Sus scrofa: one gene and its partner. The protein of the gene in region 2 interacts with the protein of the main gene of each other region in a biochemical or structural test. Links are inferred from orthologs where the notes say so. Each region holds a gene or a part of one and is shown on either strand. Other genes may lie near its edges.

Region 1 (7,306 bases), on a different chromosome or scaffold from region 2:
GAGGTTTATCGTTCTATTTCAGGTGTCTTCATCTTTCTCACTTGCAACCCAAGCCCTCGAGGACAGACTGCCAAAAAAGCCTTTAAAAACAGGGAGGCTTGGGAGTTCTCTGGTGGCCTAGTTGCTAAGGATCCGGTGTTGTCACTGCTGTGGCTTGGGTTCAGTCCCCAGCCCGGGAACTTTTTTTTTTTCTTAAATACATACTGTTGTGGGATTCTCCCCCACTTTTTAATTCTTAAAACATGTTTAAATTTTTTACTTATTTTTCTTTTTACAGCTGCACATATGGCATGTGGAGGTTCCCAGGCTAGAAGCTGAATCGGACCCAGCCTACACCACAGCCGCAGCAACACTGGATCCTTGACCCATTGAGCAAGGCCAGGGATTGAACCCACATCCTCACAGACACTATATTGGGTTTTTAACCTACTGAGTCACAACAGGAACTCCAAGGCCCATGAAATTTTACCTGCCAAGTTTTGCAGCCAAAACAACAGCAACCGCCAAAAGCAAAAACAAAAAAACCCCCCAAAAACCCGAGGGAGGCTCATGGGCATCAGCGGGGTTTGGGATGCTCTACATCAGAGTCCGGCCAAAGCCCTTAAGGCACACAGTGTGGAATGTTCTAAACACTTTAAAAGGAAGCTCAGGTCAATATAGAAAAAGGCCCATTATACTTCCCTCACTGCCTTCATGTCAAGTTATGTTAACCTATAACATAGAGACAATGTGACTAAGGCACAGGGATGCTGGCTTCAGTGCCCAGTCCACCTCCCCCTCTTCCCGGCACTGTCTGTACAGCAGCCAGACCTGGGAGCTGCCTCAGGTAAGCTTCCTGGGCACAGGCTCTATTTGTCTAACTGAACAGGGTGCTAGGGACACCTGTAATCCTACCTGCTTACCTCTGATTAACCTTAGCCAGGTACGGGGCTTAGGTATGACCCAAACAACAACCCCGGTAGCCTTGGGGTCGAATGCCCAGTAAGAGACTGGGAACATGGTAGTTGGTGGGGGAAGGGTGGAGGAAAATTTCTGACCCACTCAAAGGTTCTGCTGGTTTATGGTGTTACTGGAGATTTTTAAGACCCCACAGACTCAAATATTCACCTGTGACACTCCCTTAGGTCACTTTCTCTCAAGTTCTCCAGACCACCTAACTTCAGATCAGGGGCTCAGCCTAGGGAGGGTAAATGACCATGAAAAGCAAACTGAACTCAGAGGAATGGAGATGGTTCAAATAATTTGCTCTCCTTTTCCTCTAGGGACAAACACTGCAGTGCCCTTTCTAGCAAGAGTGACCAGTGGACACTCACTCCAAAAGCTTTTTTTTTGGCCTTTTCTTTGCAGAAGTTTCCGGGCTAGGGATTGAAGCCAAGCCACAGCAGTGACCTGAGCCACAGCAGTGACAATGCTGGATCCTTAACATGCTGAGCCACCAAGGAACTCCTCCAAAAAGCTCTTGACACACCCCCACCCTCTGTCAAAAACCTGGATCTGCAGACCCTTCTGTAAAGAAGAATGCTAAGTCCAACCTCAAGAATTTACCTGAATAGAAGCATCACTTTGTGTCAAACCCCAGAGGTCTGAAAGGGTGAGGGTTGTCATATTCGTCACTCACTCCTGAGTACTCAGAGCTTGGTACTTACACCAATGGCTGGGAGCTAGTTAGAAATGCTGGATCTCAGGCCTTACCCCCTCAACTGAAGAATCAGAATCTGCTATGAAATGAGGCCCCAGGTCATTCACATGCACATTGAAGACTGAGAAACAGCACCCCAGATGGAAGCAGAAGCGGGGTAGGAATGACCTTTTTTCATGAGGTCAAGTTCCTCTATGGGCAGGGCAAAGGGGTGGGCTGAAGTGGGCTTTGGAGTTAGACCCCACACTTTGGCTGAGGCAGAGGCAAGCCTGGGTTCTCCGGATTATGGACTATGGGCTGTGCCTCCCCAGCTGGACATCTCAGACAAGAAAAAAGCTGGCTTCAGGCTCCGGGCACTGCTGGCTTCCTTCCAGTTGGCTGCCAAAATGAAGCTACCGATGCAGAAGCGCCTTTCCCTCTTTCTCAACCAGAGATCTTCAAAAGGAGGGAGGGTGGCTGAGGTCTGCCCCCAACTCCCATTCCCCAGTCCAAAGTGAGAAGTGGGTGGGAGTTCCCTGTAAACAGCACCCCTGGCTATTGGTCCCAATTTGATCCACCCCCACCTAGCAACAAAGGTACAAAACAGGGCTACCTGAGCCATCAGGCTGCCTGAGTGCCCACCCTGAACAGATCAAGCAGGGGTTCACACTCTCACTTGAAGGAGCCCCCAAATTGTCCAAATAGGTCCCAAGAGACACAGAAAAAGCAGAACAGCACAGACTACATAAGGTCTAGCTTGGACAGACAATTTGAGTCAAGAGTGGCAAATAGGATCGCTGGGCATTTGTCCTTGAATCATTTTTAATAGACGAGACAGAATTTCTCCCCTCTATGCTTGGCTGCTATTTCTTGTTCAATGTGGGAAAATGGTATGACATGGGACAGTGGACACGTTTTTCCAAATTGGGGCCTGGGTGCCAGTTCTGGCCTATAAGGCAGCTCGGTTGCACAAGAACATCTAAGATCCTTAAAAGTTCTAACGTTGTGTGTTTTGGATCAAACAGCCCAGGGCTCGGATCTGGCTGCGCTCGCTGGTGGTGGGACAGCTGCTTGAGAAAATAAGCATGTGGCCCCGACGCTGGCAGGCGGCTAGGCTGCAGCTCCGCCCGCGGCCGCCCGCACCCGTGTTTCTCAGCGAAGCGCCAGGATCGGTGGAGTTTTTCGAGTAGTTTGGGAAGCAGCGGTGGAAGCGGGTGTAGGGGAGGGAAGAAGGGCAGAAACGGGTGAGCGCAGTGCGAGAACGAAAGAGAAGTGGTGAGCCACGAGGATTTCATCATGCAAACGCGCCGGCAGGTTTCATCAGCGCCCATACGCCAGGGCTCCGGAGCTGGCAGGGAATGCCAGGCTCCCGAGCGCAGCCCAAGGCTGCCCCCGCCCCGCGCCAGCTCAGCTTCCTCTTCCTCATCAACTCTCTGGGAGGTCACACGGCCCCCCTCCCCCCCGGAGAGAAGAACGTGTTTTTCTGCACAGCGTTGCCCGCGGCCCCGGGTTCCTTCGCGGAGATCCTCAAGCCTAAAAGGGCAATTTGTTCCAGAAGCCGCCGAGGCTCCAAAGCTGGGGGTGCCCCGGGAAGGAAAACGGTCTCTGCCAAGAGCCATTCACCCCAACAGAGAGCGCCCATCCCGACCCCTAAAAACCTCAGGCCAGCCCTCTCCGTGGTTGGGAGGCCAACCTGACCCCACCCTATTCAGCCTCAGAACAGCCCCCAACACCCACAAGGGGCAGCACACCTCGGCCTATGGCAGTCCTGGAAGCGAGCGCTTGTTTTTGGCGGGGGGAATCAGCTGTCTCTCCCAGAAAGAAGGAGCTATAAGGTGGCATTTGCAGCCGCGGCTCTGGAGCACGCACCCCTAGGGCAGGCAATGGAAGGCGCCCCCCGCGCCCCCCTGTCGTTCCAGGTGGCCACCTCCGTGCCCCTCACAGCCACCCTCGTGCCCCTTATCCGTTCTTTCCAGTCACCACGCCCCGAAGCCCTGTCGCCCCGTCCAACTGGAGTTCCCTATCCCTCCCCCTGGCCAGTCAGTCCTTCCCAGCGTCCGCACCCAGAGACCCCGAGCGGCGCCCCCGGGCCCGCGCCTACCTCCTGGGGTGGTGCTGAAGAGCGTGCCGCCGGGAGTGGTGCTGTAGTCCCCGGGCGGCAGCTGCACGCCATCGCCGAGGACCACCCGGCGAGTGGTGGGGATTGCCCGGCTTGGGGTCTGGCTGCAGCTGCTGCCGCTGGACATGGTCTCCCGCGCGAGGAGCCCGGACCCAGAGCGTGGCCCTGGCGCCCCTCTGGCCTCGCTCTGCCTCGCTCGGGCCCGCCCCGCCCGAGACCGCCCCTTCCGCCGCCTGGGCTGCCACCCCCTGGGATTTGTAGTTCCCGCTGCGCTGCCGCCCCGCCCACCGCCCGGGGGCTGCGGGCACAGGAGTCCTCTTCCGCGCTGGGTCCCGGGCACCCCACAGACGGGCTCCTGAGCGTAGTTGCTAGCGCCGCTCCCCTATTCCTTTCCGCCTCCTAGCTGCCCCGCCGCTAATCCCTTCGGGTCCCCGAGAGCCACGCGGGCAGGAACCGGTGGATGGGAAGGAAGATTCCGAGGCTTGCCTGTGTTAATGCCTTTCTAGCTCGGACTGCGCTGGGGTCCCAGCGGACCCAGCCCACTCTGGAAAGGCTAGCTGCAACACTGGGACATCAGGCGAGAAGGTCCCCTGCCTCCGAAAGCCTTCCGTGTTCCGTGCTCTATTTCCTCAGATGAGAAAGCGAGGATTGGTTGGTCATTCATCAATTTATTGAACATTCACGATGTGGCAGTCGTGGAAGAAATGTAGAATTAGGATCTGGGGACAAAACATCAAGCTGGGTGATGAGGGCTAAACCCGGAGCGAGGAGGCTGGGAGGGAGTGGACGTCGGTGGTGGTGGGGAAATATTGGTCAAAGAAGGTTATTTGCAGCCCTTTGAGTTGGGTCAGTGGATCCTGACCCCCACGCTGCCCGAAGTTTGGCAGGAGCTCTTTATTATTATTTATTATTTATTTTTTTAATCTTTTCGCCATTTTCTTGGGCCGCTCCCGCGGCACATGGAGGTTCCCAGGCTAGGGGTCTAATCGGAGCTGTAGCCACCGGCCTACACCACAGCCATAGCAACGCGAGATCCGAGCTGCGTCTACAACCTACACCACAGCTCACGGCAGCGCCGGATCCTTAACCCACTGAGCAAGGCCAGGGATCGAACCCTCAACCTCATGGTTCCTAGTCAGATTCGTTAACCACTGTGCCACGACGGGAACTCGCCTGAACTCACTTGAACTCCCCTGGCAGGAGCTCTTTAAATGAACGCAGGAACAAACGAAGGAATATTCAAGTGGAGGACAAAAAAACCTGTGGTGGCCACATCCGGGAAGAGTAGAGAGAGAAAAGTTTAAAAGAGAAATCCAGGGAATTCCCTTTTGGCAGAAGTGGTTAAGGGTCAGGCATTGTCACCGTAGCAGTGACTCAGGTCACTGTTGTGGTACCGGTTCCATCCCTTGCCTGGGAACTTCCACATGCTGGGTGGCAGGAAAGAAAGAAAGGATGGAGGAAGGAAGGAAGAAAGGAAGGAGGGAGGGAAGGAGGAAGGAAGGAGAGAGAGAGAAGAAAGAAAGAAAGAGGAGTGTCCGGAGTTCCCTCGAGCTCCCCTTGTGGCACAGGGGAAATGAATCTGAAGAGGAACCATGAGGTTGTTAATTCTATCCCTGGGCTCGCTCAGTGGGTTAAGGATGTGACATTGCCATGAGTTGTGGTGTAGGTCGCAGACTCGACTGGGATCTGGCATTACAGTGGCTGTAGCTCCCATTCAACCCCTAACCTGGGAACCTCTATATGCCAGGAAGTGCAGCCGTAAAAATAAAAAAAAAAGAAAAAGAAAAAAGAAAGAGGAGTTCCTGTTGTGGCTCATCGGTAAGGAACCCGACTAATATCCATGAGGATGCAGGTTCAATCCCTGACACCAGATTGCTGTGGCTATGGCGTAGGCTAGCAGCTGCAGCTCCAATTCCACCCCTAGCCTGGGAACTTGTGGCCCTTAAAACAAAGAAAGAAAAGGGAAATAGAGCTGACTTGTGAAAAAGCTTTTAAATCAGGCCAGGGTGTTTAGACTTGGTCATCCAAGGCGGTAGCTATCAGAGAGAGATCTTTTAAGCAGGGGGGTGATTATCTTTAAGAGAGGTAACTCTTAGCCATAGATTTTGAGAATGGACTACTGGAGGGTGAGGCTGGAGATAGAGAGACCGGTTAGATTTGGTCATTCCTGAGCTAAATTGTAGGCCTATGCTGTCCGGCATGGTAGCCACGGCCACTGAGCGCTTGGAGTGTAGTTAGTCCACAATCACAAGTGTAAAGTACATACCAGATTTCAAAGACTTAGTGTGGAAAAAAACATAAAATATTTCAATAACTTGTTTTGTACCAATTATACGATGAAGTAATATTTTGTGTATATTGGGTTAAGTAAAATCTATCATTAAAATTTAATTTCATCTGCTTCTCTTTACCTTTTCGGCAGTACTGTAAGAAATTTATAGACTGTAGAATCATCCAATTTTGGCTCTGGCCACGTACATTACTGGTCATCCAGGACAATACTTACCTCCATCTTACTGAAAAACAAAACAAAACAAAAAAACCCCAGAAGCCCAGGAGGAACAGCGGTTTGCCCAAGATCACACAGCTGGAAAATGCCTGAGATAGGACTAGGACCCAGTCTTGCCTCCTTCCCTAGCCAGCCCTTTTTTCACCACATAAGGAAACAAAGTGGCCCATCCACCACACCTCCTTGGTAGGACTGTTTTGAAAAGATTTATTCTGTTGTCAGACCTGATTGTTTGGTTAGAGCTGAAATTCTAGGGAAAGGGCAGTTTAGAACACTTCACATTCACCATGACCTCTGAACGGAGGGCTGCACAGAGGCAAAGCAAGTCTGAAGGCTGCAGGGGAGCCAAAGGTGGGGGCTGGCTAGACCTGGGGCCCCTCATGGGTACAGGAGGATCACTAGCCTGGGCCGAGGGGTATGGTCTTTGACAGACTCCCTCCTGAATTCTGTTTCCTGGCCAGACATTTCACCTATGGCAATTTCCGCCTCGTTATGGAGCAGGGACAGAGCAGGAGGCATTCGCATCAAGTCTTGTAATTAAATATCAGCTCTTATAGGGCAGGGACTGTGGGTTTACTCACACGCTCACCTTTTCACAAAATTAAAAAAAATTTTTTAAATTGAAGTATAGTTGATTTACAATGTTGTGTTAATTTCTGCTGTACAAAAAGGTGATTCAGTTATACGTTATATATACATTATTTTTAAAAATATATTCTTGGAGTTCCCATCATGGCTCAGTGGTAACGAACCTAACTAGTATCCATGAGAATGGGGTTTGATCCCTGGCCTTGCTCAGTGGGTTAAGGATCCAGTGTTGCCGTGAGCTGTGGTGTAGGCCAGCAGCTGCAGCTCCAATTTGACCCCTAGCCTAGGAACTAACATATGCCTCCAGTGCAGCCCTAAAATGACAAAAAAAAAATATATATATATATATATTTTTTTCCACTACGGTTTATCATAGGACATTCAATATAGTTCTCTGCAATACACAGCAGGATTTTATTGTTTATCCCCTCCATGTACTATAACTTATATCTGCTAACCCCAACCTTCTACT
Region 2 (7,125 bases):
GATTAAATATAAAGATGTTGAACATAAGTGAAAAATGTGAAATTCAGAGGAACAATTATTTCACAGAAGAATCAATGTAATGAAAAAATTCTAAACCTAAAGCCATAATCACCTCCCCCCCCCCCCGGGATGGAACCTATACTTCCACAGAGACCCTAGCCACTGCAGTTGGATTCTTAATCACTACACCACAGCAGGAACTCCAATCATAACTTTTTTTTCCTTTTAAATCTGCCAAAGCATTTTGTTAGCCACAGAGTATTACCAAACCTCATTTAGATTTAAGACTCCTGGAAACTTACACTTCATCAACTATTTTTTTTCTTAAACCACACAAGTAGGGTGCTATGTATAAAGTTAGTGTATGTATAGTGTATTAAAAAAGGAGTTCCCATCGTGGCTCAGTGGAAATGAATCTGACTTGAATCCATGAAGATGCCTTGCTCAGTGGGTTAGGGATCCTGAGTTTCAGGAGCTGTGATGTAGGTCGCAGATGCAGCTCAGATATGGCGTTGCTGTAGCTGTAGCATAGGCCAGTGGCTACAGCTCTGATTCACCCCCTAGCCTGGGAAACTTCATATGCCATGTGGCCCTAAAAAGATTAAAAAAGAAAGAAAGAGAGAGAGAGGGAGGGAGGGAGGGAGGGAGGGAGCGAGAAAGAGAGAGAGAAAGAAAAAAGCATGCCTTTCCCAAATCCCATTACCTCTTAGCGGTATATTTTCCCTTTGTGAACATAGACACATAAGAAATATACAACTTGGAGTTCCCGTCGTGGCGCAGTGGTTAACGAATCCGACTAAGAACCATGAGGTTGCGGGTTCGGTCCCTGCCCTTGCTCAGTGGGTTAACGATCCAGCGTTGCCGTGAGCTGTGGTGTAGGTTGCAGAAGCGGCTCGGATCCCGAGTTGCGGTGGCTCTGGCGTAGGCCAGTGGCTACAGCTCCAATTTAACCCCTAGCCTGGGAACCTCCATATGCCTCGGGAGCGGCCCAAGAAATAGCAACAACAACAAAACAACAACAAAAAAGACAAAAGACAAAAAAAAAAAAAAAAAAAGAAATATACAACTTGTAAAAGGTTATATTAGACTTAAATTTTATAACCTGAATTTTTTTTAGCAGACTGTGAACCCTTTACTTTTTTAGCAAATATTCATCTAGATTGTGATTATTAATGCCTATGTGAGGTTTCGGTAATAGGAATGCATATTTTATTTAATCGGATTCCTATTATAAGATACAGGAATTTTTAAAGTTTATTGCAATAGACCATGCTTTAAAAAAAAAAAAATGAGATGTCAAATTTATTTTTGCTATTTTTTTTTTGTTTTGTTTTGTTTTTTTGCTTTGAAGGACCACATATGGAGGTTCCCAGTCTAGGGGTTAAGCAGAGCTACAGCGCCAGCCTATGCCACAGCCACACCAGATCCGAGCCATGTCTGGAACCTACACCACAGCTCACGGCAATGCCAGATCCTTAACCCACCGAGCGAGGCCAGGGATCGAACCCGCAACCTCATGGTTCCCAGACGTATTCGTTTCCATTGCAGCCACAAGGGGAACTCCTGCTATTGATTTTAGAAAGCTTTTTTTTTTTTTTTTTTTTTTTTTTTTTTTTTTTGTCTTTTTGCCATTTCTTGGGCCACTCCCCAGGCTAGGGGTCCAATCGGAGCTGTAGCCACCGGCCTACGCCAGAGCCACAGCAACGCGGGATCCGAGCCGCGTGTGTGGCCTACACCACAGCTCATGGCAACGACGGATCGTTAACCCACTGAGCAAGGGCAGGGATCGAACCCGCAACCTCATGGTTCCTAGTAGGATTCGTTAACCACTGCGCCACGACGGGAACTCCTAGAAAGCATGTTTTTAAAATGATCCTGCTTTGAAATTATTTATGAGTAACCCATTTAGCTAAAACTTGTCTATGGTTTCTTGCGAAAGATCTTACGACCTAGGTAATTTTGGAAAAGTGGGGAAATCCAAAAGCGCTTTCAAATGCGTATTTAACAAAAGAGAAATCACGAGTGCACAAGAAATGCTAGTCAGAAACTTCCACGTCTTTTACTCTAGTAACTATAGTGCGCAGGCATCGCTAAACTTTGATCTTGAAGATTAAACGCGGCGGGTTCTCGAGCCACGGTCTACTGCCTCGTGGTCCCAATCCCGCGGTACCCAGGCGGCGGACTCGGCGTGGCCACAGCCCAGGTGCTGAGGGGAAATATACTAGCGATGCACCGGATGTGTGCGTGGAAGTGACTGAAGTCAACTCACCAGCGATTGGTTTTTTCGAGAGGATCTAAGCTTTATTTCGCCTGCCACTGGCCACAGGGTTTGTCTATTTGAATAGTCTCCGCCCCGCGGAGAAGCCGGGTCCTGAAGCTTCACTTCTCCTTCATTACTATTGGTCTCCATTCCAGTCCATCTTCTTCTTGCGCCCATCGATTGGTCCTTTGTGTTGGGAGACTGCCCTCCCTCCCGCCCGGCTTAGAGGACAGCGGGGAAGGCGGGTGGTGGGGCTGGGGGCCTGAAGCAGTGGAACCGGCGCTGGTGGCGGCAGCTGAGCCCTCGGCCGAAGCCGCGCGGTGAGTCTGGGGCCTGGCACCGACCCCTCCAAGGCGGTGGAATGTCCAGACCCACGGCCAACCTGGTCCGTGGGGGGACCCCCAGGAAGTCGTGCGTTTGAGACGTGGGGTCCCCTCAGTACTGGCCCAAAGGACTTGGGCGCCGCCGGAGCCCTTGACCCCCGCGAGGCAACGCCCACCTCCTCCCGGATCCCCAGGAAACCCCCGGACCCTTTAGCTCACGCTATGTCTCTGGCGCCGTGAAGGCGGGCCCATGAGCTCCTGTATTGCTGGGGAGCATTTGGGTCGCCTTGCGCATCAGTCACCCCTATGAGCCACCTACCGATTGGCCTCCGAGAGGACCAGCGTCAGTGTCAGCCCCTTTAGCTCCACCGTGGAGACCTCTCAAGCACCCATTTCGCAGAGCTGAGCTGGGTTCCATCCCTGAGCTTCATCTCCTCTGCTTCCCCCGCCCCCATCCCTAGTTTCAGCCACCTGACGTTAACTTGTGTAAGCCCTCGCCAAGACCCTTAAGATAGATATTTCACTCCTAGTATTTTGACTTCTGCCTGGAGGCCTTAGACCTTATTAAGATATACTGGTTCCTTCCTTCGACTGGAAATTCTTTGCCAGCCTCCCTCCCCCTCGTCATAGACAAGCACCACACACTCTGTAGTAGTTTTCCCATTTGGAGCCCTTGGGTTTCCTCTCTCCTGAAGTTTGACACTTCCTTCTGCAGTCTTTGCACCCTTTCAGAACCAATTAGTCCCTGGTTTTTTTGTTTGTTTGTTTGTTTTTTCCTGCATTTCACAAATTCTTTCAAAAACAAGAATTTTGAAAATTTGATTTTCTAATATAATCAGGACATACCCTAGGATAGGTGTATATGTTACGGCCGTCGCAGTCTGGGCCGAGTTCTGTTATGGCCACTTTATTGTGGTTGCCGGATTGTCTGTACTTCCTCCTAGACTGTAAGCTTGCTGAGGGGAGGGGCAATACATAATTGTGGAACAAATGCCTGATCTCAGGAACTAATTAGTCTTTTTTTAGCTTACATTCCAAGTACTAGTCTTTATGGAACTGCGCTGTCCAATACAACAACCACAGGTGGCTTAGAGCACTTGAAAATGTTGAAATTGCTAAGTTGAAATTGCAGTAAGTGGAGTTTCCATTGGGGCGCAGCAGAAATGAATCCGACTAGTATCCATGAGGATGTAGGTTCGATCCCTGGCCTCACTCATTGGGTCAGGGATCCTATGTTGCCATGAGCTGTGGTGTAGGTGACACACACGGCTAGGATCCCATGTTGCTATGGCTGTGGTGTAGGCCGGTAGCCATAGTCTGATTTGACCCGAGCCTGGGAACTTTCATATGACGCAGGTGCAGCCCTAAAAAAAAAAAAAAGAAATTGCCGTAAGTGAATATATCAGTAATTTGGGGGGGAGGGAGGCAGTGGGCTGTGCCCACATCAAGCATCAGTTCCCGGGCCGGGGATCGAACGTGCGCTACAGCTGTGACAGTGCTGGATGTGTAACTGCTAGGCCACCAGGGAACACCTGTCATAACTTTTTATATTGTGACATGTTGAAATGATATTTGGATATATTGGAGTAAATAAAATAACTAATTTTGCCTGTATCTTTTGACCTTTGCTATGTGGTTACTAGGAACTTTAAAGTTACATTTGTAGCTCGTATTTCTGTCAGACCCGTGCTGCTATAGAATAACAATCAGTTTCCCTCTCTAAAGTGAATTTGAGGAGAGGGGCAGTCTTAGGCTTGCTTTGTTTTCTCTCACGCTCCCCATCTCTGCTACCTGGCTCTGTGCAACGTACAGAGTAGTAGTAATAATAATAATATTAACCCAGCAACTATTGCAAACTCACTGTGTGCCCAGCACTATGTTAAGCACTTTTTAACATGTATTAGCTCGTTTAATCTTCACATCAGTCCTCTGAGTTAGGTACTCTTATCCTCCGATTATAACTAAGATATTTGAAGTGTCTTCCTTGAGGTATATAATTTTGGACTGGATTCACACCCAGGTAGTCTGGCTGCACAGCCCATAGCATAATTTGACCTTCTCTGCTCTGCTGCCTCTTTCAACACCCGTGGTTATCAAATGAATTGAGGCTTTCTGCATGCTTTTCATTGGGGTCTCCCAGCCTTTTTAGGATCCCCAGCCTGATGTGGATGAGTGGAGGCCTGTGGGGGGAGGTGGGGCCATAGATTAGTTCACCGCCATGGTTTGTTATCCAGAATATTAAAGCCAGCTTCTCTCCAAAGAACCTCAGGGCAAAATGCTTGGAACCGGACCTGCCGCCGCCACCACAGCGACCACCACTTCCAGCAACGTGAGCGTCCTGCAGCAGTTTGCCAGTGGCCTGAAGAGCCGGAATGAGGAGACCAGGGCCAAAGCTGCCAAGGAACTCCAGCACTATGTCACCATGGAGCTCCGAGAGGTTGGAGCTGCTGCGGTTTGGGGCCCTTCATCATGGCCTTTTGGGGCTGCATGTGCCATTCCTGGTTTAGATGCCTCTTGACAGCTGATTGAGGGCTCAGAAAAGGCAAAGATTCTAGTTTAGAAAGGCACCCAATTTCTCAGGTCTGTAGAATGGGCAGGTTCCTTTGCCACAGTTCCACATTTCTGTGGCATTTCCTTTCTTGTGATAGTTTAGGAGTCAGAGTAGAATTGGCTGTTCCGGGAGTTCCTGTCATGGTGCAGCGGAAACGAATCCGACTAGGAACCATGAAGTTGCGGGTTCGATCCCTGGCCTCACTCAGTGGGTTAAGGAACCACGTTGCCATGAGCTGTGGTGTAGGTGGCAGACATGGCTCGGATCTGGCGTTGCTGTGGCTGTGGTGTAGGCAGCGGTTACAGCACTGGTTCAACCCCCAGCCTGGAAACTTCGTATGCCTCAGGTGTGGCCCTAAAAAGACAAAAAAAAAAAAAAAAAAAAAAAAGAAAGAAAGAAAGAAAGAAAGAAAAAGAATCGGCTGTTTCTTTTAATTTTTTTCTTTTTCATGCCACATTCCAGGCTTTTGAATCTTTCTGCCTGATAACATGGGTTGGGATGGGTTTGAAGAGTTGATTGCTTGGGGCTTTTCAAATAGAGGCCAGACCTGAGGTAGGGACAGTGTCTTTTTTGGCCTTGTACCCAGGCTACCAGGTAGAATCTAGGACAGGACATGGCCTCCCCTTGAGTAGATACACAGTAGGTATTGGTTAAGTAAACAGATGATTGCTCTACGGTTTAAAACAACAGAGATGGTCAGCGGCTGTGTCGTCTTCGGTTAACTGCACCTGCTGGCCACCTCTTGGGTTCTGGTCTTCGAAAGGCACCCCACGCCCCCACCAGCAGGGAACATTAGACATTGCCCTGAATACGTCTTCCTTTACAGATGAGTCAAGAGGAGTCTACTCGTTTCTATGATCAGCTGAACCATCACATTTTTGAACTGGTTTCCAGCTCAGATGCCAATGAGAGGAAAGGCGGCATCTTGGCCATAGGTAAGGACAGGGTCTCTGGCACAGTAAGAACTGGACATCCAGGACTGTGTCCTTTGTGTCCACTGCACTCCGTGTCTACTACTTACTGGATCCTCACTTCATATTTGTTTAATGAATTCTAAGGAGACTTGTGGCTTTCAGTTGCTTATTCGGCTATTAATTTTAACCACAGTCCTGGGCAAACCCAAGGGCAAAGAGGGTTTTTTTCAGACATGGAGCCTCAGAACCACTAAGCGACTTTTCCAGGGCTGGTGCGCCAGAGCTGAGGCTGGAAGTCAGCTTTCTTCCTGCTACCCTTGTTGCATTTTGCAGGCTCTTGTTTCTCTCTAGAGCCAAGTTTGGCAGAGCAGAGCTCAGAAATGGAAAAGTAGAGTTGAGGGGACTGTGAATAAAAGGCAGATAATTTCAGCTCATGGGGACTGGTTATCCATCCTGTGAATTATTATTCAGTCCTGGTTTGTTTTCCTTTTCTTCTTGGGAAACCTGTATATGCTAAAATATTAAGATGAGATCATTTTGCTTTATCTAAGTAGTTCTGGTCCAAACATTAAGTCTGTTTGTTAAAATGGAATGGAAATTATTTGCCTCCTCACCAGCTGGAAATTGCAGTCTGTGCTTAGAGTAGGAGGAAGGGGTCCCTCGCTAGCTTTCCTCTGAAGACAGTGGACCTCCGTGGACCGCACATGCCCGACTCATCCTCTGCCTTCCTCTCTTTGCCAGCCAGCCTCATAGGAGTGGAAGGCGGGAATGCCACCCGAATCGGAAGATTTGCCAACTATCTTCGGAACCTCCTCCCCTCCAATGACCCCGTTGTCATGGAAATGGCATCCAAGGCCATTGGTCGCCTCGCCATGGCAGGAGACACTTTTACTGCAGAGTATGTGGAGTTTGAGGTGAAGCGAGCCCTGGAGTGGCTGGGTGCTGACCGAAACGAGGGCCGGAGACACGCAGCTGTGAGTACCTGTGGAGCCGTGGCCTCGTGTCAGGTCCTTCCCACCATGTGCCCAGGTCCCTGAAAGGCAGAGAATGAGAGCGGATGCTCCGGGCAAAGGCCCT

The links.
Region 1: of the proteins of MTOR (region 2) and EIF4EBP1, one has a biochemical effect on the other in vitro, tested with the Homo sapiens proteins (29 studies listed by BioGRID and IntAct, with this or other methods). The link is inferred for Sus scrofa from reciprocal best matches to the Homo sapiens genes MTOR and EIF4EBP1.

What each region holds. Positions count from the first base shown.
Region 1 is NC_010457.5:48,439,474-48,446,779, forward strand, and holds the start of EIF4EBP1 (eukaryotic translation initiation factor 4E-binding protein 1), read right to left. Parts: upstream 3,901-7,306; 5' UTR 3,865-3,900; coding exon 3,720-3,864; intron 1-3,719. UniProt on the Homo sapiens protein: Repressor of translation initiation that regulates EIF4E activity by preventing its assembly into the eIF4F complex: hypophosphorylated form competes with EIF4G1/EIF4G3 and strongly binds to EIF4E, leading to repress translation.
Region 2 is NC_010448.4:71,408,236-71,415,360, reverse strand, and holds the start of MTOR (serine/threonine-protein kinase mTOR), read left to right. Parts: upstream 1-2,447; 5' UTR 2,448-2,580; intron 2,581-4,844; 5' UTR 4,845-4,858; coding exon 4,859-5,020; intron 5,021-5,960; coding exon 5,961-6,069; intron 6,070-6,789; coding exon 6,790-7,022; intron 7,023-7,125. UniProt on the Homo sapiens protein: Serine/threonine protein kinase which is a central regulator of cellular metabolism, growth and survival in response to hormones, growth factors, nutrients, energy and stress signals.